4 linked regions of the Diceros bicornis minor genome follow. The protein of the gene in region 1 interacts with the protein of each later gene in a pairwise test. Links are inferred from orthologs where the notes say so. Each region holds a gene or a part of one and is shown on either strand. Other genes may lie near its edges. The genes, in order: ARL6IP1, SNX11, SNX10 and MYG1.

The links.
Region 2: the proteins of ARL6IP1 (region 1) and SNX11 interact in binary tests that used the Homo sapiens proteins (3 or more experiments, as listed by UniProt). The two-hybrid records come from large-scale screens. The link is inferred for Diceros bicornis minor from reciprocal best matches to the Homo sapiens genes ARL6IP1 and SNX11.
Region 3: the proteins of ARL6IP1 (region 1) and SNX10 interact in binary tests that used the Homo sapiens proteins (3 or more experiments, as listed by UniProt). The two-hybrid records come from large-scale screens. The link is inferred for Diceros bicornis minor from reciprocal best matches to the Homo sapiens genes ARL6IP1 and SNX10.
Region 4: the proteins of ARL6IP1 (region 1) and MYG1 interact in binary tests that used the Homo sapiens proteins (3 or more experiments, as listed by UniProt). The two-hybrid records come from large-scale screens. The link is inferred for Diceros bicornis minor from reciprocal best matches to the Homo sapiens genes ARL6IP1 and MYG1.

Annotation. Positions count from the first base shown.
Region 1 is NC_080765.1:33,439,515-33,446,646, reverse strand, and holds the start of ARL6IP1 (ADP-ribosylation factor-like protein 6-interacting protein 1), read right to left. Parts: upstream 3,106-7,132; 5' UTR 3,032-3,105; coding exon 2,996-3,031; intron 811-2,995; coding exon 677-810; intron 239-676; coding exon 119-238; intron 1-118. UniProt on the Homo sapiens protein: Positively regulates SLC1A1/EAAC1-mediated glutamate transport by increasing its affinity for glutamate in a PKC activity-dependent manner.
Region 2 is NC_080757.1:37,807,756-37,814,872, forward strand, and holds the start of SNX11 (sorting nexin-11), read right to left. Parts: upstream 3,025-7,117; 5' UTR 2,843-3,024; intron 1-2,842. UniProt on the Homo sapiens protein: Phosphoinositide-binding protein involved in protein sorting and membrane trafficking in endosomes. Regulates the levels of TRPV3 by promoting its trafficking from the cell membrane to lysosome for degradation.
Region 3 is NC_080742.1:51,251,757-51,259,038, reverse strand, and holds the start of SNX10 (sorting nexin-10), read right to left. Parts: upstream 3,111-7,282; 5' UTR 2,993-3,110; intron 2,928-2,992; exon of another isoform or gene 2,800-2,927; intron 2,650-2,799; exon of another isoform or gene 2,631-2,649; intron 1-2,630. UniProt on the Homo sapiens protein: Probable phosphoinositide-binding protein involved in protein sorting and membrane trafficking in endosomes. Plays a role in cilium biogenesis through regulation of the transport and the localization of proteins to the cilium.
Region 4 is NC_080756.1:16,969,850-16,977,677, forward strand, and holds the start of MYG1 (MYG1 exonuclease), read right to left. Parts: upstream 3,049-7,828; 5' UTR 3,034-3,048; coding exon 2,818-3,033; intron 2,658-2,817; coding exon 2,545-2,657; intron 87-2,544; coding exon 1-86. Other genes in the region: PFDN5 (prefoldin subunit 5), read right to left, coding at 3,398-3,474, 4,486-4,591, 4,708-4,782, 5,716-5,747, 6,059-6,161, 6,335-6,406; ESPL1 (separin), read right to left, coding at 7,586-7,787. UniProt on the Homo sapiens protein: 3'-5' RNA exonuclease which cleaves in situ on specific transcripts in both nucleus and mitochondrion. Involved in regulating spatially segregated organellar RNA processing, acts as a coordinator of nucleo-mitochondrial crosstalk.

The sequences.
Region 1 (7,132 bases):
AACCCCTAAGATTCTGATGGTTAGACAATTCTCTGTGCTTAATTACAGGATACTAATCACAGCCACCAGGTTCAGGAACTTCTCAGAAATTAGACTGCCAAATCCTTGGGCCACCTACCATTTATTGGAGCCAAAAATTCTAGGTGCCAGAATGGGAACAAGGTAGTCAGCCAAGCACAAAAACATAACAAAACAGGAAACACCGGACAGAACAGATGGATCTAGATAGTAGATAGTCCTGTTTTAAAAAAAAAAAAATTAATAAAGGTTAGAAAACCATAGTTATTATTATTCCCAGCTGAAGATGCTTATTCACTGAGTCCTCTGGTTCTCAAAGATGTTATTTGCCCTTTTCATTCTAACTTTCTCACAAGTGGTTTTCCAAAAGCTTCATGACATGATGACATCATAGCTGCAATGGTTAATGCAAATACCAAGAAACAAAAGCTCTTTGGGGTCCTCAATACTTTTTAGGAGTGCAAAGGGTCTTTATTCAACTGCATTAGGTTACTGAGTTTACATAAGTACTACAAATTCTGAAAACTAGGCGAACTGCTCTAAGGAAAGGCATTCTTTACAGATTATACATTACACAAAAGACTAAATGAAGGCTGTGTATGACCTGAGCCCTTACTAATAACAAGCACAATCCATAGCAATTGAACAGTGCACTTACAGAAACACCAGAGAAACCACCCCCATGACGGCAGGTGGAAACCAGGCTCTCTCCCAGCGCAGGACCTTGTCAGCCATCAGCATCACTTCTCCCCATCCTTGCAGCTGCTCCTCCAGACTCGCAGTCTCTGCAGCCTACGCATGACCAACATTTAAAGCGGTCATTTTACCACTCTCAACATTTCTGTGGTTCCTAGAGAGTTAAATTCTTCCAAGGCACCAAGTGTGTGTGAAATAGCTCTTAACCAAATCACTATCTTAAACAAGTTAGTTTCCAAAAAACTGCAATTTTCGTACCAAAGACAGAAATTAATGGGGAAAAAACTATCATTTAATGGTCCCCGTCCAAGTCCAAGTACTGGGCTATTATTTACATACACGATGTAACATAATCCTTATAGAGCCCCTCAAGGTAGGGACAATTAGATCCATTTTACAATGAAAGAAAGCGAGCTCAGAATGGTTAACCAACTTTCCCAAAGTCATGCACTAAGTGGCAGTGCCCAAAGTATAAAATTAGATCACTTTCAATTCCCCCATTTCAGGTAGTTAGAACTGATCTGCTGTTTTGTCATTCCATTGATTTAAACCCCTCCTTCTAAATCCATTAGGAAAGCCTCTCCCTGAACAGCAATTTCTAAAATAGCTCTTTGTGTAATGGAATCATTTAGATGTTGACATCATTTACACAATTAAGGAAAACTCGCCAAATTATAAGAAGCATTTTAGCTCAATATATCTCCTTAATACAGAGCTTCTTACACTTATCAGGACATTTTAGTTAGACCTCAAATTTCTCTGCAAATCTGACTATCAGCTGAAAGCAGACTTCTAGGATGAGCTAATGCGGCAAAAAGCCCTTAAGCTGATTTGGGTAGAGGAAAAAAAACTGGAACATGTCCTTATAAATGTTATTACAGGGAAACATGCAAATAACAGGGGAGAGTGCAGCTTAATCTTAATGAAAATGCTATCTGAGCCACACTGATCACACTTAGGTGTCAATATTTCTGACTTCATATACTATGCTTAATATAGTTAAATAAGCAATTACTATGTGCCAGAAACTCTGCTGAGTATTTTATATGCTTATATTTTAATCCTCCCAAAAAGTTAAAAGGAAGGTGGCGTTACTAACCTCATTTTAGAGAAGAGGAAGCTGAGCCACACAAAGGTTAACAGATGTGAATCCAGGAAAAAATAAGGTCAAAGGCCTCGCTCCCCTTAAAGCTACACTGCTCTGCTGGGCAAGAGCAGCTGAGCACCAGGCCAGGATCTGTCATTTCAACAGCTGTGTGAACCTGGGCAACTTCTTTGTGCTTCAGTCAATCCTCTTAAAAGCAACCTGGCTAGGGCTAACTAAGCACAGCACTGAGAAGGGGTGTGGTCTGTGTGTGTAACGGGGCAGGTCATGCGTTTCTAAAAACCAATGCAAAATGAAAATCACGCACAATCAAAACTGCCCTGCAAAGTCACTTAATTCGTTAGCACCTGGGCTCTCGGAAAAACCAAAAGTGAAAAATTAAATTCTTTGGTTCCTCTATTCATTGTGGTTGTGGCGTGTGGCCTGTCTTTCCCTGGGGAAAGGCAACGGAGAAAATGCACGGATTTCTCTCGTTTTTGCCTAGATCATGCCGTGAAATTCGCAGAGGGGTTACACTTGCCCGCCTGGGATACCATCTCACTGCGGTTCCTTCGGACCCCTGCTTATTTCTGAAGTCGTCCTGAGACCCCCCCCAAAGGCTTACAAATTCCAGACCAACGCCAGGACGCCCACTGTCCTTCCAGCTGGACCCCACGCCCAGTTCCCCGCGGCGAACTCGCAGCCTCCCTGCCGTTTTAAGCTGTGCCAGCTCTAACAACCGGGCAGCAGCCCTTTGACCCTCCACTCCTGTCCAAGTCTTGGGGGGAAAAAAAACGAAAGGACATCCAGGTTAAGATCAAGAAGGGGGAAACCCGGATGCGGCTGGGGCCTGGGCCCCCAAAGCGCTCCACAGGCCCCTCGCGGCCGTCTGGCCCAGGCTGCACCCCAGGCTCGTCACAGCCCCCTCGCCCACTTCCTACTCAACCCTCTTCGTGACTGATCACGCGCCCTCCTCGGCCGGTCCGCACCTTCCCCAGGGGACGTCAGGGGTCCACACGACTAGGGACTGCCACCCAAGAAGCCCGAGGGGCAGGCGTCGTCGCCTGGCCTGGGAGCCGGGAGAGGAGGGCCGGGCCCGCCGCGGTGACAGGAACGAGGCCGCAGCGCCGCCTCCCTGAGCCCACCCACGTCCGCAGGCCCCGCTCGGTTCCCCCGCGACGAGGCCCCGGGGCTCACCAGCAGGTTGGTGCTGCGATTATCTCCCTCCGCCATCGTCCCCGAGGTGCCGCTCAGCGAGCGCCAGCCACCCTCCAACGCAGCCTTACTGCAGGACCCGCACAACGACTCCAGCGCGAGGGTACGCCCCGCAAGCCGCTTATATAGGCTGGCTGCCTTTCCCGACAGACCCCGCGAAGCTCGCTCCTCATTGGGCAGATCGAGCTCAAGCTTAAGGGGAGCCGGACCAACCGCTGCCCAGCGCATGGCTTGAAATCGAGGTCAAAGGCGAGCGGGGCCGCTCCGGGCCGAGGGGGCGGGGCAGGGACTGACCAATCAGCGCCCAGGAGATGTGCGACGCCCCGCCCAGGCCTCTCGGCAGCGGTTGAAATGCGGCCGCCCCGGGTCTGGTTTGGCCTCGCTGGCCCCAGGCGTGGACGCTGCGGTCGTCTTCGGAGCCTCTTCTGCTGGAGTTCAGAGCAGCTAAGGAGCCTCTCTGGAATTTAGTCCTCGAAGAAATATGCCACGCATATCAGGCGGAGGGCAGAGATGGGCCTGGGACGCTAACCTCGATGTCATGAAGGGGGTCGGCTGGGACCCCCTTCCCCACCAGGCGGGTGCCCCCCGCCCTCGCTGTGCCCCTGGGCGGCTCCCCCTTTCTTCTAATCCCCGCTCTGGTCAGGCCACCGGGCGGTTTAGCCCAGACTTGTGACTCGGAGACTCGTGCCCACCTCTTGAGGTTTTGAGGACAAATGAGAAGAGCTATTTATGTAGATTTTTTGCAGTTTTTCCTTCCTACCCATTAGTAATACGGCCTTAGCTTGATAGGGAGGGAGGAGGATCTGGGTCTAGTTTGAGAACTTGTGAAAAATGCACTGACTTATCAAGTTGGCTTATTTACGTGGAGTCTTTAAGGAAATTCCTTGTGGGGCACTTCAGTTACTTAGGAAACTGCGAGCTCCCTATCCAAAAAAGGACTCGTTTTGACAGAACCTTTCTTACACTGTAAGTCATGCTAAGGAAAGATGCAAACCGTGGGATTCAGAGGCAATTTAGGAATTAGATGAACTATGTTGAGACACTTCCTTTTCTCTCCAGGATTTCAACATGCATTAACAAGTGCTTTGATTTTCTTTACTTGGTACAAACAAAATCAGGCCAAATGTTGACCTGGTCACATTGTCTGTTTCAGGAAAATTTATCATAGCTTTTAACTTCCAGCCTTTTATCCTTTTATAGTCATCTGTATTATGCCATCGAATTTAGATTACTTTAAAAGCATTCCTTAAATAACTACCAGGTTCTTAAGAGTTCAGGGAAGGCATAAAGAAATTTGAGAATACAGCTATAGCGCACATGCAGCTCCTAAGAGAACCAGGGGGGCAGGAACATTGTGAATTTCATGAAAGGGTGTGAAATTTGCCATGGATCTGTGAAAAAAATAAAGCAACTGGATTAGGTATCAACACTTGGTGGGGGGGAGCCTTTGCAAGGGAAGGGGCCTCTTCAATAACGTGCCACTTTGGGGGATGTTGGGGGAAAAAAACAGGTGATGTATGCAGTCACATAGAGACCCCATTTTGGGAGACTTTAAAGCTATCGAGTCGCAAGCCCTCCCCTACCTCTTCAAAAGAAAATTAAAAGGTCCCTAACAATCAGCAGCCACATAATAGTGCATATGTTGAGCACTTTGAAGGCAAAATTTGCTTACAGGCACAGTAACATTCACTGCCAAAGGCGAGGCCAAGGAGTTATTAGGCTTTAAACATCGACATTTCTACTTTTGGAGATCAGCTTTTGCTACAGAATGCTTCTGGTTTTCACCCAAGTTCCCTATGTACAACTTAAGAAGAAAGACTTTTCAACACCAGCTTGTGAAATTGAGGTAGGTGAAAAGAATTTAAGTAACTCAAACAGCAGAAGTTCTCCATGGAGTATTTTTGTTACTCAAGGAATGTGTTCCCAGACCTATCTGCAACTTCAGAGCCTAAGTGCTGCTGTAAGGTCTGTCTTTAACTTACAATTGGCCTTATTAGAGGGAAAAAAAAAAGCCTACCCTTAGCGTAGCTTCCTTTTGTGCTGTTTTTGTACTACAAGGACAGGATGTGATCTTTTGAAACGTGCCAAATGACTTAACAGTTAACATAAACCCTCCTAACATAAACTAGCAGCAACAAATGCAATCTGATTTCCAGATAATGAAACAAGCTGGACATTTTAATTCTGTTCTCCTTCTGAGCTTTCATACCCCAGGGAACATACATGTCAATAATGTTCTACAGTTTTGTTTAAATATTGACAAAATTAAGCTTAATACATTGTACCTTAATACTAAGAACTTTCCCACTGAAGTAAAATTTCCACTGCTGTTCAAAAATAGAACTTGGAGGGTAAAAAATTTACTTTTTAGAGAATTAAGCTTTAAAAAAATTTTTTTGGAGGTATTAATGCTTAAAAAAAAAAAAAACTACCCATATTCCAAAATTAAGTTTTCTGGAACCTACTTCAACCAATAAATTCAGAGCTTAAATGCTATGTCTTTTAAGACTTTATTTTTTGAAAAACAGGTATTTCATACAATCTTTGCCATGTTAATGCAAATATGCAGAACATAGGCATGTATTTTTGTTTTCCAAAAGATGCATTACGAACATTTTCAGGAAGCTGGTGTGATTTATTCAACTTTTAATCTTAAATACAATCACAAAATTATACCCATCAGGAGGCATTACAACCTTTTGTACAGAGAAGCCACTTTATTTATACAATGTTACTGGGACAAGGAAGATTCAGTTCAACTCAATTTGCTCTTATAATAAGGGTGAAGGAAATTAACAAGTAAGTGAAGTATGATGGTGCCACTGACATTACAGCTGGAAATATAAGGAAATTTAAACCAGAAAAATAACTGACACAAGAACTTTAAACAAGAGCTGAAACTTGGACTTGCAGGAAAAGAAAAAGAAAAATCAGCCTGTTTTGAAAGAAAGAAAACATTCTACAAGTCTGCATTTCAAAACAAGCAGTTCCTTAAGTTTACCATCTTCGAAAGTCAAGCTAATTGTATGACATTTTTACATTAGCACAACAAACAGCTTTTCCCTAGTAAGCCCAGTCAAATTCCCACAGAAAGCAAGAGACTCTAAGCAGTTCATGTTGTACCACTAACCCCTGAACCTATGAAGCTTCTCTCAGCCTGAGTCCATTTGCCCTCCTGTAAATAAGGGATGATGACAGTTACCCAGGCCTAAAAAGCAGGAAAAGTGCAACACACCCTTAAGAGGTTCATAATACAGTGAATTTCCCCTTCCCCAATGTCTGGAAAAATCTATAATGCTAGCTAGTTTTTCCCCACAGGAGGAAACTTTCTAATACAACCCAACTACTTTCTTTAAGTGACCCTTATTTAATATATTCTACCTCCTTGATTTAAGTGGGGGGAAGTCCTAGCTCTAAATTACTGGCATTTTACAAGCTCAAGAAGATATAGAATGGAAGGTCAATGGTTCTAATTTTATGTAAAACAAAGGTACTTAAATTGCTAATAATAAAGCAGTCACTGATTTTTGATGTATATGAATACGACTAACAGGCTTATTGTAGGTGCTTTCTTCAATAGGAAAAGAATTGGGAGAAAAGAAGAACCAGCTCCTTTGATTTTAGTACTGCCAAAACAAGTAAGCCCCCAGAGTAATTACAAATATGTGGAGGAAAATAGGCCAGGAAGACTTTTCAATTTAAAGTACTGCCTATAAAACCCCAGATTTAAAAGGAACTAAGATTGCACATCAACTGTAATATTTGGCTGTACTTGCATTGCCCTGCTCGGCAGTTTTTAATGGCTCTTTCCTTAAGTTTCACACATCAGAACAACCACAATTAAAAAACAAAAACAAAAACCTGCAATTAAACCAAGGCAGATAACACCAAACATTGGACAATATTAAGAAAACTACATACTAAGCCTTAAGGTAACAGAGGCAAGTGTTAAGGGCAGAAGTGATGGAAGTTTTTCTTTGTATTATAAACCCTCACCCTGAACCTGGGGTTTGGGGTCTAAAAAAACCATTTAGGGAAGCAGATCAAGAGGCTGATTATCAGTTCTCACACAGAAATCTCACAGATCTCAAAAACAACTCACCACAAGTGTCAGACACA
Region 2 (7,117 bases), on another chromosome or scaffold:
TTGCACAGTTGCAACCTTCCCTTATCTAATCCGTTCTCCGGAACCCAAGCCAATGGTTCTAATCATTTCCTCTCTTGACATGCCATCCGGTTTGTACCTCTGCCCAAGCACCCCACAGCTGCACAGGTCAGCTGAGGATGTTTTCCGCTCCTTTATAAAGATTCATTAAAGCCCAAGCCTCTGATTTCCCCCAATGTGGCAGTTTACATGTGCAGCGACATCGCCCACTCCGACAAGGGGATCATGAAGGCAGCAGCACAGGGTTACTCAAGTCCAAAGGGGCCCATGATGTCACCTTCTGTTAAAATACAGCACTAATCTTGTTACTCCTAGAACCACTCCAACAGCATCCACCCTGGCTGCCGCCTCCACCCCCTTCTCCCCTCTTAAGAGCGGAACAATAAGGTTTAATTTCCCTTTCCAATTTACCTTGAAATGAAAACTGACTTCAGCCAATATGTACTGCCAACAAATGATTCGGGCTGGCTCCTGGGAAAATGAGACTATCTCTATGCTCTCTTTCTCCTCCCCCCATGCCCATTCACACACCCACTCATTTTTACAGTCCCACAATTAATTTTAAACACATTCTCTTATTAGTTCTGCCTTACCATTAGAAGAGTGTGTAATGAGTTTCCTTTTATTTTATGTTTTGCTAACACAAGGCTAATGTTTCAAGAGAAGGCGAACTCATTTATACCACAAAATTAGCAGAGCAAACAGCTTTTCCAATTCTTTCCAGTACACCAGAAGGTCTCTCCACACATAGATACTGCATGCAGAGACAAAGCTGCATGGTATATGACAAAATTGGGCTGTACCGTTGAGCGAACCAGAGATTTTGTGATTGCAATACCATCTTAAACAGTAATCTTGCTGACAATCTGATTTTTCATCTGATGCAGTCACCATCGCAAAGGGGTCATGGACTGAAAGGTAGGAAATTCCACTTCCACAGCAACCGATGTGTAACATCCTGGATGTAAGCAGTGAAATGGCTGTGATCAAAAGAACAGGCCAACTCACGGTGAACAATTAACCACCTCGGATTAAAAAAAAATTTTTTTCTCTTCTCTTTTCAGGCATTTGGTAAATTGCCAGCACAGGAGCAGAGAGTTAAATATTCTGAAGTGTCTTTTCACAAAAGTAACACTAGAAAGATGATGACATGGAATCAGTTATCCACACACTCAGTGGAGCTCACACATCTCCTGTACCTAGAAAGCTTTGCCAAATTCAGGACCATAATTTAGTAACTAAATGGTCATCATTCTCAGGATCAAGAAGAATTTGCCTAGGGCTATGCACAACCTCTGAGCCCAAGTTCCTCTCTTTTCCTTTGGGGCTAATACCACTTAGAAACAAATAGCTATACACAGTTTAAAAAAAAAAACTAGGACCTCCAAGATGCTTAAATCTAAGTTTACTTAAATCTAAGTTTAAAGGGCACTAAAAATGTTTCAATTGTAACTTTCCTTAAAAACACTGGAACAAATACAAAAATCTAGACTCCAAGTAATAATTTCTAGCAACTACTATTCTCCATCAGCTTCCTACTCATATATGCCACTCCTCAGAAGGAAATGAAGCTCAGTTCTGCCCTTGGAGGGAAAGGAGGAAGTTCCTACCGTGAGTTCTGTGATCTGAGAGATAGATCTGCATGTCATCCAAATAAGGATAGTCAGTGACCCTCTCAGCTACTTATGCAACTCACTAAGTGCTAGCTACACTTCCAGGCCCCTTCAGTCACATCTGAAGTTTCCTTTACTTCCTCCACCTGTACCAGCACCAATGGCCCCAGGGAGAACCCAGTTGTTTGCTATTCACAAAGTAGATTCCTTGTAAACCTTTCCAATGTCATAACAATTCAAGGCTTCAGCTCCACCATTTTCACTCCCATTTAAACTAACTACTTCAAGGGGGCTGGCCCGGTGATGCAAGTGGTTAAGTGCGCGTGCTCTGCTGCGGCGGCCCGGGGTTCGCCGGTTCGGATCCCAGGCGCGCACCGATGCACCGTTTGTCAAGCCATGCTGTGGCAGTGTCCCATATAACGTGGAGAAAGATGGGCATGGATGTTAGCCCAGGGCCAGTCTTCCTCAGCAAAAAGAGGAGGATTGGCAGATGTTAGTTCAGGGCCAATCTTCCTCACAAAAAAAAAAATTTTTTTTAAATAAAAATAAAAAAATAAACTACTTCAAGAGACAGATTAAAAACCATATCAGGTGATAAAAGCATATTGCGCCACTGAGACTCCCATTTCTTCTTACTCATTCTTGAGCCCTGGTGGCAGACAGCAACTCAAAAAAGCTCTCCTTCCTAAATACTCACAGGTGGTGAAGGAAGCTCCCCTGTCTGACCAAGCTCTGTGTGTTCTCAACCAAGCAATTCTGCTCCATCCCTCCCTCCATCTGTAACTTGGAAGATAAGTCATAAAGGCGACCACAACTTAGCATAAGAGCCTCCCGTGTTCCCATAAAATACTTGCCATTACCCCTAGTCCTAGCCGTTGGGGTAAACGTTCCCCAACTCTTTTACTCCGGCCACTCCCCCTCCATTCTTAACGAAGTAGGAGCAAAAGGGCCACATGGTCCTTCTTCTCCTCTGCCTATTAAGCTTGGGGAGTGGGAAGGAAAGACACTATATACTTTAAAAGTTAGTAGAAAAGCCAGGTTTCCTTCCTTGGATCCCGAGCAAGCACCGCCTTCATCCCAGAGATGAAACGGCCCCTTCCCTAGGACGTCAAGCGAGGTCCCCACCCCAAGCGCCACTACAGAAGCTCGAGCCGGCGGCCGTCACCTAAGAGCAGCACGCACTCCCCGAGGCCGCGCCCGCGCCCCCTCACCTGAGAGCAGCACCCACTCCTCACAGGAACACCGCCGGCGCCCCCACCATATAGCCACTCGCGGCTTCTCCTTCCGGGTGAATCGCCGGTGCTCCGGTGCACGACGGGAGACGCCTCCCGACACGCCAATCCCGGGCGCCCAGGACGCCCCGGCCCTGCAGGCCCCGACTCTTAGTGGCGGGCCCCGCCCAGGCCTCGGCGGGAGTCGGGCTCCCCCGGGACTCACGTGGGCGCGGAAAGGTGCACGCGGGCGAGGGCCGGCGAATGGGCTCTGACGTCCAATCCAGGGCCGCGTCCCGCCCATCGTTGTCAGGCCCAGCCAATCAGCGGCCAGGTAGCGTCAGTGACGGTCTGAAAAAGGGTCCCGGGAGCAGAGAGGTGTGAGGAGGTTGTCACCGGAGTTTTGGTTCTGCAAAGGGCGGTCTTGGGTGTGGGAGGGCCGGGGAAGGAAACGCCCACGTTCCTGGAGCTTCGCTGAGTCTGGGGAGAGTCCCCATTTGAACTCTGCAGGTTGCAGTTCCTCAGCGGAGTTATCAAGGGAACTTCAACTCAGGTTCCTAAACCACAGGTGGTCAGAGCGAAAACCGAACTGAGACTGCCCAGCAACGCACGTTTCTCTCGACGAAACGAGCCCAAAGAAGGATCGTGCAGCTAGTTAGTAAGAAAGAAAAATCCGTTGAATATGATGACTTTTTTTTTAATGTTGTTGAAATGTCTTTTAACCTGTTTAAAGATGATTTTAGCAAAGATAATATCAATGAAAAAGTTGTGGTCACAGATCCAATCTCTGGGGTTAGACAACCTTGGAACCATACCGAGCATGCACTACACTGACCGTGTGGCCCTAAACTGGTCCTAAATGTTTGTAAGTCTTAGTTTCCTCATCTGTAAAGTGGAGATTATTGCACATACCTCTAAGCAGCTTTTCTCAAACTTGGTCTCAGGATCCCTTTACATTCTTAAAAATGATTAAGGACCCCAAGGAGCTTTTGTTTTTGTGGGATATTCACTGAGTTAGAAATTAAAATTGAGAAATTCAAAAACATTTATATATTAATTCACCTAAAAACGATTACAATAAACCATTACATGTTAATATATTTTATGAAATATAACTACACTTTATAAAACAAAAAAACAGTAGTGAGTAGAGTGGCATTGTATTACCATTTTGCAAATCTCTTTAATGTTTGGCTTAATAGAAGACAGCTGGATTCTCATATTTGCTTCCCCCATTGAAAGGGAGCAGAATATGCCATGCCAAATTATGCCACTTTGGCATGTGGATTATTTTGAGCTGAAGGTAATCAAGACCCAGCAGACTCAAGAAAAACTTTGACTTCTCCCTTAACTACCTAAAAGAATTTAGATAGGGGGCCTGGCCCAGAAAGAGCTATTACCAGAGATAACTTTTTATGTGAAAGACTTACTTGCATGGCAGGGCAAACATCTGATCATCAAACATCTGCTCTTTTTATCTTCCTGTGTATTTCCCTCCGGCCCTTTGAAGCCCCAGACCCCTATCCCATTTCTTAGCTTAGCATGGCATCTAAGCCTCAATTGCCTGCCTGCCTTTGGGTCTCATATTTTTATGGAGCTCCCATATGTACAAAATTAAATTTGTTTTTCTCCTGTTAATCTGTCTTATGTCAATTTAATTGTTAGACCAGCCAAAGAATCTAGAAGGGTAGAAGGAAAATTTTTCCACCCTGACACCATTCTCTCTGTTGTGCTGTATTATTTTGGCATAGGAAATGAAGAAATCCAGTCTCACAGAGATATATAGTTGAAAAGGGAGGAGTATTTTTAGCCTTCTCCAATAATTGTGGATACTCTTCTTTGATACTAGCAAAACTCAACAAATGGTAATTTCTTAAAGGTTAATAGTAGTGAGGAATCTGAAACCATTTGGAAAACATTGATTTACTAAGTTATGCAACTCTTCCAAATATTGATGCATTTCATTATTCAACATAAAAAATCAGATTTATTAAAATCATCTCTAATCTCATCAAGAAAATCTTGGGAAACAGACAAGCTCACTGCAGTGGATACCACATTTTCTAAAATTACCATTTTTGCTTGGAAGTTTAAATTCTTTTATCATTGTCAAAAATACTTTCAGTCATTTTTCTTTGAAGTGGCAGGCTCACTTCATTCAAATATCCAATATCCAAGTCTGAATAACCATAGTTTTTCCGTCAGTCATTCTTTCAAATAAAAATGGTGTTCTATGAAAAAAAGCAGTTAGTTCAGTTTACACGTCTCAAACAATTGCACAACCGTATACTTCAGTAAGCAGCAGAAGTGTTTTGTGTACATCTCGCATTTCATCACACAGAACATTAAAAAGACATACTCTAGGAGAGAGATTTCATAAAATTAATAGTTTGTACTGCTTCTTCAAGGATAGTCTTAAGTGAAAATGGCTTCTTAATTCTTGTTTTGCATAGGCATGGCAGTGAAGAATACAAGGACTCTAGTACAAGTTGGTGCTGCCCTGCCTTGATTAATGCTAAGGTGCCAGCAGTTTCACTCACTGTTGCCCTTGCGCTATCAGTGAAAATGTCAACACAATGAAAAAGAGCAAATAATGTCTTAATATTATTATGAAAATAGTTTTGACCATTCAGACTCCTTGAAACATCTCAGACACCTCCAGAGTCTGTAGACTGCACTTGGAGAAATGCAGAGGGTATCCATTCATCCAACAAATATTTATTGAGTCCCTTCTGTGGGCTGGGAACTGTTTTAGCATTAAGAATAAAACAGGCAGCCAAATAGGAAAGTACCCTGACTTCCTGGAGCTTCTATTCTAAAGAATATAAGGGCTTAGTATCATTGCCCCACATATTACTCAATAAATGTTTTTAAATAAATTCATTAAATAATTTGAATGTCATACAGGTTTCACAAATAGGTGCCCTATCGCTAGCTTATTTTTTCAACAGTAATTTCTAACACATGATAATGGGGCTAATCCTTATCACACCTGAAATGCTAGCAAATGATAAAAGTACCTCTCCAAGTAGTGATCCCTTCACTTGAGAAAACCAGTCACTGTCAAGGCTATGGGTCATGAATGGAGAAGTATAGGTTTTAATTAGAGTCCAGTTACTACTAGGAAGTCACATGAGAATCAGACTGACCAGGGAAGCTAAGAGAGACAGCTAGCTCTTAAGCATATTTGCCTTTAAAAGAGAGAGCTTGTTAACCCCAAATGAATAAATCTTTAACAACAGAATTTCAAGTAGTAGTCAAAATGAAACAAAGAATCTCACACCCATTAGGATGACTGCTATCAAAAAAAAGCAGAAAACAGCAAGCATTGTGAGGGTGTGGAGAAATTGGAACCCTTGTGCACTGTGCGTGGAAATGTAAAATGGTACAGCCACTGTGGAAAATAGTATGGCAGTTCCTCAAAAAATTAAAAATAGAATTACCATATGATCCAGCAATTCCACATCTGGGTGTATAACCAAAAGAATTGAAAGCAGGAGCTCGAAGAGATATTTGTACACTCGTATTCATAGCAGCGTTATTCACAATAGCTAAAACGTGGAAGCTACCCAAGTGTCCAACAACAGATGAATGGATAAGCAAAATGTGGTACATACATACAATTGGATATTCTTCAGCCTTAAAAAGGAAGAAAATTTTGACATATGCTACAACATATGTCCATATGAACCTTCAGAACATTATGCTAAGTGAAATAAGCCAGTCACGAAAAGACAAATACTGTATGATTCCATTTATATGAGATACTTAGAGTAGTCAAAATCGTAGAGACAGAAAATAGAATGGTGGTTGCCAGGGTAGGGGGAGGGAGGAATGGGAGTCTTTTGGGTATAGAGTTTCCGTTTTACAAGATGAAAAGAGTTATGGTAATGAATGGTGGTGATGGTTGCACAACATTTTGAATGTATTTAATACCACTGAACTGTACACTTTAAAATGGTTAAGGGCCGGCCCGGTGGCTTAGCGGTTAAGTGCGTGCACTCCGCTTCTGGCGGCCCGAGTTCGGATCCGGGGCGCGCACCGACGCACCGCTTCTCCGGCCATGCTGAGGCCGCGTCACACATACAGCAACTAGAAGGATGTGCAACTATCACATACAACTATCTACTGGGGCTTTGGGGGAAAAAAAAAGGAGGAGGATTGGCAATAGATGTTAGCTCAGAGCCGGTCTTCCTCAGCAAAAAGAGGAGGATTAGCACGGATGTTAGCTCAAGGCTGATCTCCCTCACAAAAAATAAATAAATAAAATGGTTA
Region 3 (7,282 bases), on another chromosome or scaffold:
TCATAACTTATTCACTTGGTACCACTTATTCCAAAGGGAAATATTGGGGTATGATGCAAAGAATATGAGTCTGGAAGTCAACAGACCTGAGTTTTAGTCCTCTTTCTACTTCTAATTAGCTCTGTAGTTCAAATTAAGTTATTCTGCCTCTCCACTGGGCTTCAGTTGCCTCATTTGTCAAATGAGATTATCGGAATAGAACAGTCAGTACTAACCTTTCTTTCCACCGTGGGTGACTCTAAAGTAAGCTGCGGACTCTCTCCCTCAGAACAATGCACTTTTGCACATGAGAATGAAACCATACATTTTCAGGGGGTTCATAGACTTCCTAAGGTCTCCCTCTGTATTCCCAGGGTCAAGATCACTGACACTTATCACAAGCTTTTAAAAATAAGAGAATACAACAGAAATGTATACAGAATCACAAAATCCTAAGCAAAGTTGCATCATTTACAGAACTAAAAGCATTTCCTCTGCAGAGACCAGAAAGAGGGAGTGGCTACTTAGAGAAAAACAAAATAAAGTGCCAGTTCAGAGTTGCCCTTGACTGACGCCCGGCTGAGCCCTTTACACACCTTCACAGGGGAGTGGCTGAGAGTACCCATTCCAGAGCCAGGCTGCCTAGTGCAAATCTTGGCTCCATCATTTACTAGATTGTCTGACTTAGGCTCTGTGCCTCAGTTTCTTCATTTGTATATTAAAAAAAGGGGGGTTGGGGATAAAAACAGGACCTATCTCAAGGATTGTTAATATCCATAGGGTCCTTGAAACAGGGCCTGGCACACACCAAGCCCTAAATAATTATTAGCTATATTAGAAATCTGAGACACATTTGCTGGGTGGTTAAAATTATGAAGAGTTTAGAGAAGTCATAAATATCTTGATGCCTTAGTTTCCTCAGATGTAAATAGGATCTGCTTCATAAGTTAGTTGGGAGGATTAATGAGACTGCCACATAAAAACTCTTTTCACAATGCCTAGCTCATAATATGTGTTCAATAAACGTCGGCTATTATTACCAACAATTCTGACAGACAATGATTATCACTACCTTTTTTTACTCCTGAATAAAGGATAAATCAGACTTAAGAGAGGTTAAGTGCCCTGCTGACAGTACCTCAGCCAAGAGGTCAAATCACAGTGCCAAGATTTCAACTCTGATAAGTCCAAAACCAGAAGTTGTAACCACTACCTCGTACAATCTCTTATTTGAACAGGGCTTAGCGAACAGAAGAGCTGATTCATACCCACTATTCATACAAGAGAAAGAAAGAGGTCAGTAAAAATAGTCCCAAATTTGCGGTATTCCCCATGGAGGTCAACGTCACTTTGGCCAAAAGCCCTTCTTTGCCACTCTTAGAAATGAAAGTCTGCAGAGGTTAGACTGTGGTCCAACCAGTTCTAAGCCCTTCACCAGTGGTTCACAGACCAGACACCAAAAGAGGAAAGAGAAGCCATTTCCCACAATAGCTTAATTAACAGAATGAACCCTTTAAAATGAAGGTAGAGATCCTAAGGCTGAGAAAATCTACTAAGAGTGCTCCAAGGGCATGGAAAATTGCTGTAGAAGAACACAAACATTAGTCTTTAATTAATACACTTTCATATGGAAAAGAATGAAGGTGTTTATTTCTATTTTTCGATACCAAGCTCCAGGTGGCCTTCCCATAAGTAAAACAAGAGGAAGTTGGTACCACAACCCAGAGCGGCGGGGAGAGAAGCAGACTGCCAGACAAGACAGCCCTGGCGAGAAGCAGTGTCATCCGAGCAAGACCCCACTCTTGCAACATCAATTTCCTCAGGGGTGAAATAGTAACGTCGGAAGTGAGAACGAAATGGACTGGCAGAAGAAACAGGATGAGCAGTTAAACACAAGTCAGTGCTAATCACCCTACCTCACACCTTCATGTATTTACTTCTAAACGTATTTTATTTTTGTATATTCAAAACAGTCCCATTAGTCAATCTTAAATCTGCCATTCCTTAAAAAGAAAATAGAAAGGCCTTAGGAACAGGCATCCCTGGATGATGGAAGAAGAGGCAGGAGACCCCCACCCCACCTCACCTCCGTTGTGGGACTGAGGAGCCCCAGCAGAGCTTGCCGGTTCTCACTGGCGTCCACCTCAGGCCCAGGCGCGGAGAGGGAGTTTTGCATTCCAAGCCCACCCCCGCCGCACGTCCCCAACCGTGGGGAGAACTCTGCAGCGGAAGTCAGAAGCCCACCAGAATCTGGGCCTGCTTCTGCGGGCGTCTGGCTGACTGACTCCCCTCCCGGGCCTTAGTTTCCCTGTCCTACGGGATCACGTGAAAGCCTCCTTCCTGCTCTAAATTTCTAAACCCATTATTCTTACATGGAAACGTGTCTTGCAGAAATAGAAGCCCTTCCTTTCAAGCTCTTCCGTCCCTGTGACCATTCCCTCAATAACCTGTGTGTAATCTTACAGAATATGATGCATCAGAACTGAAAAACAGGCTGTTGCTTTCCGGTGGCACCAAACCTGGTAATCAGTCAACGTGGATTTTCTCCCGGGCCTTTTCCCTCAATCCCACAAACCCACAAAAAAACCCCTGCCCACCCCTCCCGATTTCTAAACTCAAAGCTACCCTTCCGTGAATAAAAAAATACCTACCCAAACCTGGCCTGGCGTAAGGTGCCACAGCACTTTTCCTGGCATCCAGGATTCCACCTCTGCCCCACCCTCTCCCCGCGGTGTCTTTTTAGCCGTGACCCCCTGGATCAATACGTTCCTTGCCCTCCCCGGCAAGCACACCCCGTCCCTTCCGTCCTCGCCCGCACACCTCGGCTGCAAAGGAGGCAGCTCCGGCTCCACTCCCAGGAGACCCAAACCTCTTCCCCGCCCGCAGGGAGCTGGGCGCTGCGGGAAGTGCCCCGCGCCCCTGGAAAGGAAAGGGCTGCCGGCTCGCCGCCCGGCCGCGGCCCCCACTCCGGCGGCGTGGGCAAGGCCTCCCCGGCAGGTCTCCTGTCACTTACAGGCGGCTCCTCCGGGCAGGGCCGGGCAGGGCAGGGCCAGCGGACCGGCAGGCGGCGGAGTTTGCTGACTCAAAGGCGCGGCGGCGGCGGCAGCGAGCGCCCAGGAGCGCACCCGAGCGCAGCCCCGCGCTCCTCGCGCACGTAGCGGCCCCGCGCCGGCGCTCAGCCCGCCGCCGGGCCTCCTGCTTCCGCCACCGCACCAACCAGCACAGGTGCGGGCCGCGCCGCTGGCCGCGCCCGGCCCTCCCGCCCGCGGAAGACGAGGCGCACCTCCGGCGCCACCGCCGAGGGGCGCTCGGCAGCACGGATTCCGCCCCCCGCGTCCGCAGATCGGGCTAGCGAGGAAATACCCCCGCTTGCCCGGTCGCTGAGGCTGAAGGTGTGCAAGCGGCACCCTCTGGAATAACCCCTAGAAAGCCACCATGAGCTTGCTAACCCCGCCCGCTTAGTTATGGGGAGGATTGCTGAATCGGGAGAGGGATGGATAGACAGGGTGATCAACAAGAATAGTAGAATATTAATGGTAGAATCTAGGTGGTGGGCATATGGGTGTGCACTGTAAAATCTTTCAGTTTTTCTGTATGTTTGAAATCTTTCATAATAAAACGTTTGGGGAAAAGAAATGAGATCTTCCAAGGAGCCTGAATCAGTAAGCCATTTCCCAAATGGCATCTTGAGCTGAGTCTGACCCACCTGTTTGCATTGTTAAAAAACGAAATTCAAGTGAGTCAATTTCAAAAATCTGTTTGGCTGTATTCAATGATTCATGAATCGGGCAGCATCCCATCTAGCAGATAGAACGAGCTCTGAGTGGCTGTACAAAAGAAAGACTTTTATAGGCAGAAGGGAGTGGGACAAGGAAGTCACACTAGCAAAATTCGGATTGGTGGTGGCAAGGTCACTTTCCTTTAGGGGATGGCAGGGTCTATCAGGCAGATCACCTCACTAGCGCTGACCAGGTAATTCCAGATTGACTGGTTTAAGCTTCTATTCCTGGGAGAGGCAGAAAGTATAATTAAGTTCGTTATTAAGTCTCTGTTTGGTGACTCGGTTTTGGGCCTGTTGTCTCCTTTTTAACAGTATGGAGAAATGCAATAATCACTTACTGCTAATGCACGATTACACGACAGAATAATAAACGTAGCCTAATTTTTTCATTTTTCAAGGATGAATTTTCCCAATAGACAGGCGGCTGCCAATTACCATTCAGGGCCATTCCAGGCCTACCTGAAAATGTACCTCTCTATCCTCCACTCCTAAATTTTGGCCTTGCATAACAAAACTTCTAAGTCTACAATGTTGTGTCTTAACATCTTGGATCCGGAACTTGCATCGCTGAATCTTGAATCCCTGGGACTTAATTTCCTAAAATTGCACCCAACTCATAATACATAAGTGAATCACTTTTGAAAATTCTGAAAATTTCACTTTTGAAAATCAAATCAAAGTGTATTTTTCAAATTCTTGTCCTTATGCTCCACAAAGAAAAGCATTGACTGGAAAGCAAAATGCGGTATGTGTCTAAGATCCTAAGAGATTCTGCAAAATTAAAATCTTTCTGAATTTATTATCCTCAAGAGCACGACCTTAAACTGTGGACAGAGCAGCTGATAACCTTTGGGTAGTCTATAGGAGGTCATTTAAATATGTTAAGAGTATGGCCCTAACAGAAAGGAAGACTATGAAAAGAATTCAGACTAGAATGAAGCAATAATGGATTATTTTAATCCAATCCAGCAGTGTAGCAGCTGGGTGTGTTTCTGGCTTTAAGAATTGTAATGTGCAACCTGAATCCAAGGGGCTAAGCTAAGTGATTGCCATCTTTTATACCATTAGTGGGCAGGTAAAAACCTGGGACTCTCTCGTGCTTAAGAAACCCTAAATTGCTGATAAAATCACCATAAAATTGCTTTTAAGAGGAAATTCTTTCACCTACACAAATCCTGCCTCAAAGGTGGTTTCTAGGGTCAGGTTAACTGGGTTCAAATTCTAGCTTTACCACCTCTCACTATGTGATCCTGAGAAAATAACTTCAACTCTCTGGGCCTCATTTTCCCATCTTAAACAGGGGGATAATAATAATAGCACCAGCCTCATAGGGTTGTTGAGGGGGTTAAATGAAATGACTCAGGGGAAGCTCTTGGAACTGTGCTGGGTACATAGTAAGTACTCAATAAATTTTATTTTTTATTATAACATTATTATAACTTTTTTTATTATAACTTGATCCTCATCTCCTTAGTTAGTCATATTAAGGAAAGCCACCTCCAGCCCCTGCCTCTAACTCAAAAGTCAGTAAGAAGACACTGAGTCCATCCTCCATCTCCTGGGAAAATTGCAAAATTCACAGACGCTTAAAAAGGAAGTTGTGTGGACTTGGTGTTCAGAAATTGTAATTAACTGATACTATACTACATAACATTACATCAAAAACTCTTTATCTTTAAATTTACATAAATGGTCCTGCCTTCTTGAGAAACACTGTCGCGGCAGATATTCATAATGTACGGAAAATGGTTTTTATCATTCATCAACCAACCAATAATGGGATGTGAGCAAAAAATTTAAACAAATGACAAATAATTTGGATTTTCGATTTCTGATCTTAGAATCATAATCTTTTTTCAATAGTACGAACACATACAGATCAAGGTGAATAAAAATAACCATTCTTGACTGTCAATCTAATGTAATATCTCTCTTATGCACCTCTCCCAAAAAAAGACTAGAGAAAAGTTTTGAGCCTGATTAGCTATTTGTAAGATAAAGGGGTTGAGACTTCTCATCCATCTACCTACCCCTCCATCTTCCTTACTTTCGTTAGTGGACTTCTGTTCTCTCAGTTAATACCCCAAACCTACTAACTTCAGCACTGCCTTTGACCTGCTGCATTCCTCCAATCCGCTCAAATCCAAGTCCCATACATTTCTTCATGGTCAGATCTTGGTGTTACTCACTTTCTGCTTTCCTCCTGTCCAAATTCTCAACTCCCTCAGAATCCTACAATAGCCTCTTTACAATGGTCCAATTTAGTGGTTTTCAAATGTTTTTAACAATGGGATCCTTTCTTCAAATGAACCCCATTTATAAAATAGAGAAAAACAGTGTTTTATTACTATACATTTATTTAAAGAATTTGATTTTGTAACATTTGTTATCATAAAGAAATACATGACCACGGGAAGTTGCTTTGTTGAACACCAACATTTGAAATCAGGGGTTTGTGAGTGATTGTTAGAATGTCCTATCAGTGTCCACATCCAATCTATTTCTCTATTTGATTATTCAGTATTGAGAAAAATCCTAATCTACTCAGAGAAGTATTTGTAAATAGTAACAGTTTGTCAACAGTTTAAGATTTTCTTCAATTTAAACTATTCAGAAGTTTGAAAGACGAGTAGTTGAAATTTTTATTTCAAAGGTGAAGCACTAAGAATAATACATCCTCGTGCTTTATCACAAGTAGAAAAGCAGGTAAGGAGACCAATATTTACAATAAGTGCTAACATGTCCATAATGAGAATTATCACCACGTGACATGCTATGTGTTCACTCGTCGTTACACAACCGTATAAGAAAAAAACTCCCATCTTTCTGCTTTACTCTCACACTACTACCACACTCACAACACTTCTGGCACCAGAAGTGTGGATTTTCCACATATCAAGCGGTTCTGTGACACTAGCTGGCTGTCCTATGATTCAATTCAGTTCTGACACTATCTACCTGGAGTTAGCATCAGATCTCACAGGCTAAGTGTTCAGTCCACAAGACTGTGCACAGTTCAGATGCCAATCACAAGTTCCAGGTTGTCACCTGTACTTCTGATCCAGCAGCTATTGGTTGGAGCTCCCATGACCCCGTCCTTGGGTATAATAATTTGCTAGAATGGCTCACAAAACGCAGGGAAACACTTACATTTACCAGCTTATTATATAATAAAGGATATGATAAAGGATACAGATGGAGAGGTACCTAGGGTGAGGTCTGGAAGGGTCCCAAGCACAGGAGCTTCTGTCCCCATGAAGCTGGAGTGTGCCACCTTCTCGGCATGTAGATGTGCCACCAACTCAGAAGTTCTCTGAACCCCTACTTTCAGGATTTTTATGGAAGCTTCTTCACACAGGCATGATCAATTGTTAATTCAGTCTCCAGTCCCTCTCCCCTTCCTGGAGGATAGAGGGTGAGGTGGAAAGTTCCAAGCTTCTAATCATGGCTTGGTCTTTCTGGTGACCAGCCTCCATCCGGAAGCTATCCAGGAGCCCACCAAAAGTCGCCTCATTAGGGATC
Region 4 (7,828 bases), on another chromosome or scaffold:
AGTGCAGATAGATGAGTCCCGCACTGCTCAGCTTGGTCTGCCACGGCTTCCCAGGGGACAGGGAGCTCATGGTCTCTGTGAAAGATCTGAGGAGCACAGGGAGGCGGGGCTGAGGCAGAGCGGCTCCAGTTAGCCCACAGCGTGTGCGGGCACGCAGGCACAAGTGGGGTGGGGAGGCTGGGGAATACTGCCGGAGTTGTAGAGGCTTTGGCTCCTCCTCAGGGGTCAACATGGACCTTGGCTTGGAGTCTCCATTCGTGCACTCACTCCACAGTGGTTAACTCAATGCTTACCACATGCCAGGCTTTGTGTTTTAGATATTAGGGATAAAAAAACAGACCTGTCCCCCAAGTTCATCTGCTAAAGGCAGACAAATGCAGACAAGCAAGCGAATGCTCCAGCTAGTTTTAAACAAGGAAAAGGGGGGAGGGGATGAGGAAAGGGTTCAGGAGGAGAGCCTTCAGGTCATTCCTGCAAGATGAATTAGTGGGTGTTCACCAGACAAAAGGGTGAGGGAGAAAAGGCATTCCAAGTAGAGAGAACAACACGTACAATGGCTGAGAAACAGGGCTCCTCATGGAACTGCAAGTGAGGCAGCTTGGGTGTGAGGAGTGAGTGACAAAAGATAAAGCTGCAGGGGTAGGCAGGGGCCAGATCATGGCAGGCCTTGTACGTCACACTTTGGAGTTTGAACTTTATCTGTGGGTGATGCGGAGCCATTGAGAGATTTGAAGCAGGGAAGAGCACTGTGCCAGCCAGCATCCTGGAGAACAGATGCAAGGAGATTAGCTCCAGATTACCAGGTCCAGGTGAGCGAGGAAGGCAGGAGTTTGAACAGCAATAGGACAGAGAACAGGAAAAAGGTACGACAGTTGTTAGGGAAGTAGAAACTACAGCTGTAATTTCTAAATACCGGTCCGCCACAACCACCTAGGGAGCTCGTTTTTTGTTTTAATGACTTATTATTCAATATTGAGTAAATACAAAAAATATAAGATATTTATAAGGTATAAAGACTAATGACAATAACCCGCCACATAAGGTTCAAAAAGAGGCAAAACTAAATAAATTGTTGATGGAAACAGACATATCTGGTAAACTATACACAAGAACAAAGGTATGATGAACTCAAAATTCGAGATATTGCTACATCTGGGGGAGGAAGGGGATGCAGCAGGGAAGCGGCACAGGTACAGATGCTACGGTAATGGTAATGTTCTAGTTCTTAGGCTGGGAGATTGCTTCATGGGTATTCATTTTATGTTTTACATTCCAGAAATGTTCAATACATTCTTCTATGTGTCAAAAAGTGCGTAATTTAAAAAAATGTGTATAAAATCATTAGGAAAAAGGAAGTAGTCAATAGTCAAGTGCCACAAAGAGGTCAGTTAAGGTGAGACCCTCAGTCAGCAACCCGAGTTTGGTGTTGAGGTCACTGGTGCCCTTTCCATGAGCATTTCCAGTGGCGAGATTGGGAGAGAACCGGCTGAATGAAGGAATGAATTGGAAGGGATGTGGAGCCAGGGTCAGCTCTTCTTTTGAAGACTGGCTGACAAGTGAGGGTGAGAGATTAGGCTGTAAATACCAGGAGGGTTCCCTCCCAACATCATTTATGAAAGTAATATGTATACTTAAAAAAGAGAGGGAGGGAAGGAAGGAGAGAGAGAAAGGGAGAGAAGTACTTAGAGACTTAAAATAAAACCTCCTCATAATCCCTGAGCAGTAACCGCTGTAAACAGTGTGGTTTATGTGCGGAGGTTTTGTTTTTTATTCACTCCTTTGTTTCCAAGACGGGAGATGCTGCTCAAGCAGAGTTTTAGGCTGTAGGCAAGGAGAAGTAGAAACACTGGTGGGAGAATTGTGATGCGGAGTCCCAGAGGAGAAAGCAAGAGATTGGAAAAGGGGCAAGCAGAAGAGAGCAGTGTTTCCTGAGCTGGAAGGAGGGAGCTGAGGACGTGCATGCAGAAAAAGCTCAATTTCCTTTGAAAAGTTAAGAGGCAGGATCACACACTGAGGGAGTCTGATAAGGTAGGGCTTGAGGAGAGGGGAAAGGATTGGAACGGTATTGTGGACAACCGAGTACCCTTGAAAAAGAAAGATTTCCCGATGGAAGAGTGTAAATGAAGCAGAAGACCACACACATCTGAACGGTCAGCAACCAGCACAATCACGCGGGCCCAGCAGTCTGAGGCCGGGCAGCAAAGGCACATGAATAGCTGGGGTACTAGGGGGGGTGATGATGGTGCTGGGGGGTGAAAAGCCTGACTGAGCCAAGGAAGGTGAGTGGGGAGGGGCCTGACGACTGACAAGGGAGGCCGGGACAGATGCCAGGGCTCAGGGAGCTCCAAGGCCAGGTGGATGGGCCCGGAGCAGGCAGAGCTGGAAGGATGGAGGGCTGTAGTCCCATGGGACTCAAGAGTTTGCTTTCAAGGATGAGGCAGGCACATCCCTTGGCTTACACGGACCACAGCAGCGGACGGCTGAAGTGGAGCTGAACTTGAGGAAAGTTCAAGGAAGCTAAAGACATGGAATCTGGAAACCCACCTTTGGTGATGGTCATATCGATGTCTCTGAGGATCGTACTCGCCGCCCACGTCTACCACGATGTCACAGGAAGCCAGTTTTTCGGGGTCTCGGGTCCGCACAATCTCTGCGTCCTGCAGGGGACACAGGAGGTGAGGGACTGCCAGGGGTCGCGCGGGTAGAGGATTAACTGGGTGTCCAGAGGAGTCGCGCGGGGAGGGGCGGTGCTCGGGCCCGAGCCACCACAGGGCCCTCGTGAGGGGCGGTCCCAGGGTCCGTTTCCGCGGACCGTACCTGGTACTCGGGCAGGAGGCGCAACAGCGCGCACGCCAGGGCCTCGTCGCAGTGGAAGGTGCCGTTGTGGGTCCCGATTCGGAGCGGTGCCATGAGGTGGCTGCGGGGTCGTTTGGGGGGCGGGACGGACTCGGGGCCGAGCATGCGGGACCGGGCCTCCAGGGGTGGCGGCGGCCGCAGCAGAGGCAACAACCCGCGCAGGAAGCGGCAGCCCATGCAGCCTCCCCGCGGGGGAGGGGGGACCCGGAAGCGGAAGCGGACGCGCAGCCCCACTTCCGCTTCTCGGCCGTTGCCACGGTAACCGCCCTGTAGGGAGGGCACGCTGCCGGGGTTCCCGAGTACGCAACTCCCAAGCTTATCAGGCTCCGGCGAGGGGGGAGGGGCACACCCTCTCGACCACCGCCCCCAGCTCATCACCAGGCCCTTGCTTAACGCAAGAAAAGACCGACATTCTGTCCCGCTGGCACGTTTATTAGCAAGAAACACAAGACCCTTCACTTTCCCCGACTCCAGGAAGCCACGCCCACAAAGTCCCAGGCCGCTAAAGCGGATGCCTCTGCCCCATTTCGGTAACAAGCTCTCAGGCCTTTGCGGTAGCCTGAGATGCCCCCAGGGCTGTGAGCTGCTGAATCTTCTGGCTCATCATCTCCATGACCGCTGTGAAAAAGAAGTCAGAGCCTGGTCAGGAGCTAAAGGAGAGAACCTAGAGGTCAGGAAAAGTGACAGGGACGTTTAAGGACAGGCAGACAACCTGCTACAGTTTGTTAATAAAACTTTTAACAGTGATCCACTGTGGGGGACACACACTAACACAAATTTAGAGTCTACACTGTGTCAGTCAATATAACCACTGGGATAGGAAAATGAACAAAATACAGTATTCAATGAGTCAGACATAACCAGGAAATTATAATGTGGAAAAGATTTTTGCCTTTAGAACAGTGGTTCCCAATCCTGACTGTGTAACAGAATCACCTGGGGAGCTTTTTAAAAAACACTGACCCCTGGAATCCCCCTCCCTACCCCCCGGGTGATTTAGTTGGTTTGGATGAGCCCAGGCTTTCTTTTCAAACCTCCTTGGATGATTCTAATGTGCAGCAGCCAGGGTTGCAATTGCTGGTACTTAGTTAAGGCTTTTTTTCTTTTTTTAATTTTAATTTATTTTTTTCCCCCCAAAGCCCCAGTAGATAGTTGTATGTCATAGCTGCACATCCTTCTAGTTGCTGTATGTGGGATGTCGCCTCAGCATGGCCAGAGAAGCGGTGCGTCGGTGCACGCCCAGGATCCCAACCCGGGCCGCCAGCAGCGGAGCGCGCGCACTTAACCGCTAAGCCACGGGGCCGGCCCATGGCTCTATTTCTTTCCTGTGTTCACTTACATGTATCTTCTCCCCCATTCCATCCTAATTAATAGGAGCTCCACAAGGGCACAGACATGATTTTCTTCCTCTCAATTTCTCAAGCACTGTCTCCACGCCGCCCCACCCCCAGGAATCTACAAATAGCAGGTATGTAATGCACAGAATCTAGAGAATAAACACATCAAAACACCAAAGAAAAAGACATGGTTTTAGTCCAGTAAAGGGGACACCCCTCTGGTTCACCTGCAATCCATGTTCTCTATCATAGATATAGAAAGGGTCAAGCAGTGCCCCCAGGCCAACCTTACCCTGTTTCATGGCATGCTTCTCCTGCAAAGCTGGCTGGATTTTCTCCATTTGCTTGGTGAGGAAGTCTACCTTCCTCTTGAAGAAGTCCTTGGCATCCTCAGCTGTCTGCAAGGTCAGAGGTGAATGAGGAGCTAAGAGGAGACTCCAATGCTGCACTCTAGTCTTCCCCTAAACTCCCTTTCCCCGCTCACAGGAGTATGCACATGCTTCCTCCCACTCACCTTCTCTACATAGTAGCCAGTTCCCACATCGATGAGGACGTGTTCCACATCATGCAGCTTCCCAGGGACATACATCTGAGAAGCAAGGATTAAGGGAAAACTAGCCCAGCAGGAGTCATGATTCCCTGTCACTAGCCTGCTTGGCTTTCTAAGACCCTCCTTCTCTAAAAATCTCCGAGGCACAGGGACTGAATCATCTGGAGGCCCTAGAACTATACCTATAAACTCCAAATGGGGAGAGACAGAGAAGCTGGTTCCTTGTGGAGAAAATGACATAGGCTGGAACACTTTTACCCTGATCCCATCTCCCACCTCCAAGCAGTTCTTACAATTCTTCCCATTAGCCCCTCCAGAAAGACAAGACATAATATATTCTCACTGCTGTAGAGTGTGAAAAGTGAAAAGCCAGCCTCACTTCCCCTCAGCACTCCCAACTATGAACTACTTAATTCCTGATGGATTTAGTGCTCATTATCTAGCCAATCCCTACTACACTGCTATTCCTGTGTTTCTCTTTTAGCCTGTCAGTTCTCAGACTAGTCTCCAGGTGCCCTATTGTCATAACTTACTCAAGTAAAACACTCAACAGGTAGACACAACCCAGGTTTCTTAGTAACAAAAGGTTAGGAATAAGAGCCACAATTAAGCTGAAATTGAGGATTAATAAACAGAGCCAATCCCTTTGTTTCTATATCCTCTTATTCTATTGCTTATGTCTTCTAAGTTATTAGTAAAAGTGTAAACCACCAGTTTTATCTCCATATTAGATTATATCCTCAAACAGCAAAAGGAAATAATCACACCTCAATTCTACATATTTCCTGCTCACAAGGCATTGACTGGATGTTGGCCCCAGGTTAGACAGGAGAGCTACGAAGTGTGTATAATAAGAGTGTTCTCAGAACCATGGGGGCACTCTGGAATAATCAAAACTACCTCCCACCCCTTTTGGGGAGGGGGGAAGGAGAAAAGGAGAGGGCAGGGTAGCAGTTCGTGTGGAAAGGATACAGAACTCGTCAGTGGGACGAGTAATTCTTTCCCTGTAAAAGCAATTAAGACAAACATCTGGGGAAGGTGGGCACCTCCGACGTTAAGATGTTAAAAGGGAACTCCAACATGACACAGCGCCCAGAGATAGTATGAAAAGAAGGGAAACGGGGAACAGGAGCAGAGGAATGTCCTGTACATTTCAATGCTAGGCAGGCACCATGCAAAGGGCTCGTGTAGCGGCAGACAATATGTAACGGATTGCTTTCTCGTCTCGGGTAAGGGCAACTGGATTAGGAGGCGGGACGAGAGAGGAAGCCGGCTCGCCACACCCCCCGGTTGCCTTCACACGCCTACCCCATACCCTCGTTGCTCCTGTTCAGGACGTTCAGACAGTCCTTGGCTTCCACATACTTGGTCTGTACCACCTTGAGCTGAGCAATGGACGTGGACAAGAACTCCACTTCCTACAGAGGACGGGAAAGAGGGTCAGAGTGGGAACCTGCGGGTCCTGGGACCTGATGGGGGTTTCACCTGGGAAGAGAAGCTTCCCAAAGTGGGGAGGAAGGGGGGCGAGGGAGTACGCGTGGGCAGGAGGGATGCGAGGGGGGAAAGGGCTGTCTCTGGGGCCCGTCCCCACCTGATCCAGCTGGTTCTTGAGCATTTCTAGCTGCGGCAGGTTCAGCTCCGTGATGTTAACCGACTGCGCCATGTTGGGGAGGAGAACTAGCGAAGCGGAAGGCGGCTCTGCGAGCAGCGCTCTAGCCTTCCCCTGCGCGCCTCGATGGCTGCGCGGGAGGCCTCGCTGCGCCAGACATCTCTATGATCCCCGTCCCGGGAGGGGCTGAGCTTCTCAGACTCGCCTTTGATGAGAGAAGGTAGTTGTGCGTTCTCTGCATAAGACATCCCAAGCCTAGCGTAGTAAAATTGTGGCAAACAGGACTCCTGCCCTCAAGGAACTTAAAAATCTTAAAAGTACTCAGGCCATAACCGCAATTTTGCAAAGCAATGTATGCTACTCCACGTGGATGGTATAAACCCGGTGACTGAGAGTCAAGGAAGACGCCTGGGAAGTGCGGGGTCAGGGGGAGTAGCGTCGTGAAAGTGGTGCTGTCGGCATGAAGCTGAGGAGTCTAGGGGTGGAGAGCATGATCAAGAGCCACGTTATCAACGGACGAGTACGGCACAAGGTTTATTAATCAATGCAATGTCTTACCGTGTGCTAGATGGAGGGATAGGGGAGAGGTCTGTGCTTCTGAGGAGCTTAACAATCTCTTTGGGGAGACAGAAACCATGCATAAACAGCGGAGCCCCACAAAATCCGCTGCTGAAGTGCACGGCACCGACCAGTGTAACAGCTGTGTGTGGGGAGAGAACGGCCTCTAACGTCCAACTTTGGGAGTTGGGGGGGGCAACTGAGGCATTAAAGCTAATGTCACTGCCAGGACACCCGAGGGCAGGAAGACAGGACAGAAATGATGGTGCCTGCTCAGGACGCTCCCAGTGGGTCTCTCTCTACCCTTCCTTGGGCCTCTGTCCCCACTTAAGGCATTTTGATGCCCCTCTCTCCTTCAGCTTTGTCTGCTGAGGCCAAGCCAGGCCCAGCTTTGTCCTGTGGTTTTGCCTTTCTCCCCAAGGCTCTCAGACTTGAACTCCTGTGAGCTGTTCTCATCTGTTTATAGTACCACATGGTCGGTGGGGGGCAATAGTCTTGTCTTCAAATGAATTACACAAAACAAGATTTAAATAATGTGTCTTTATTACATTAATGTTAAATGTTTCATATAAAACACTGGGGAAAATCACTTAAAATTTACCCTAAGGGTTAAATCTAAGTTTGGAGGTAGAACAGTCACATGGCTTCTATCAGCGATAGGACAGTTCCAAGGGATCACTGCAGGAAGACGGGCAAGCCATAGGCTACAGGTGCAGCCCCAATAATATACTTGAGTCGGGGAGCCTGGCGGGCCTGGTTGACATAGTAGAGAAGGGGGGCTCCTGGGCCTGCTCCAAGCCAGCCCTGCAGCAGAGCCTCCGTGTAGCGGTCAATGTCACGGTCAGTCACATCCCAGAGGTTACCCAGGAACAGGGGGCTGGGAAAAAAGAAGGAAGAAATACAGAGTAAAGGCTCTAA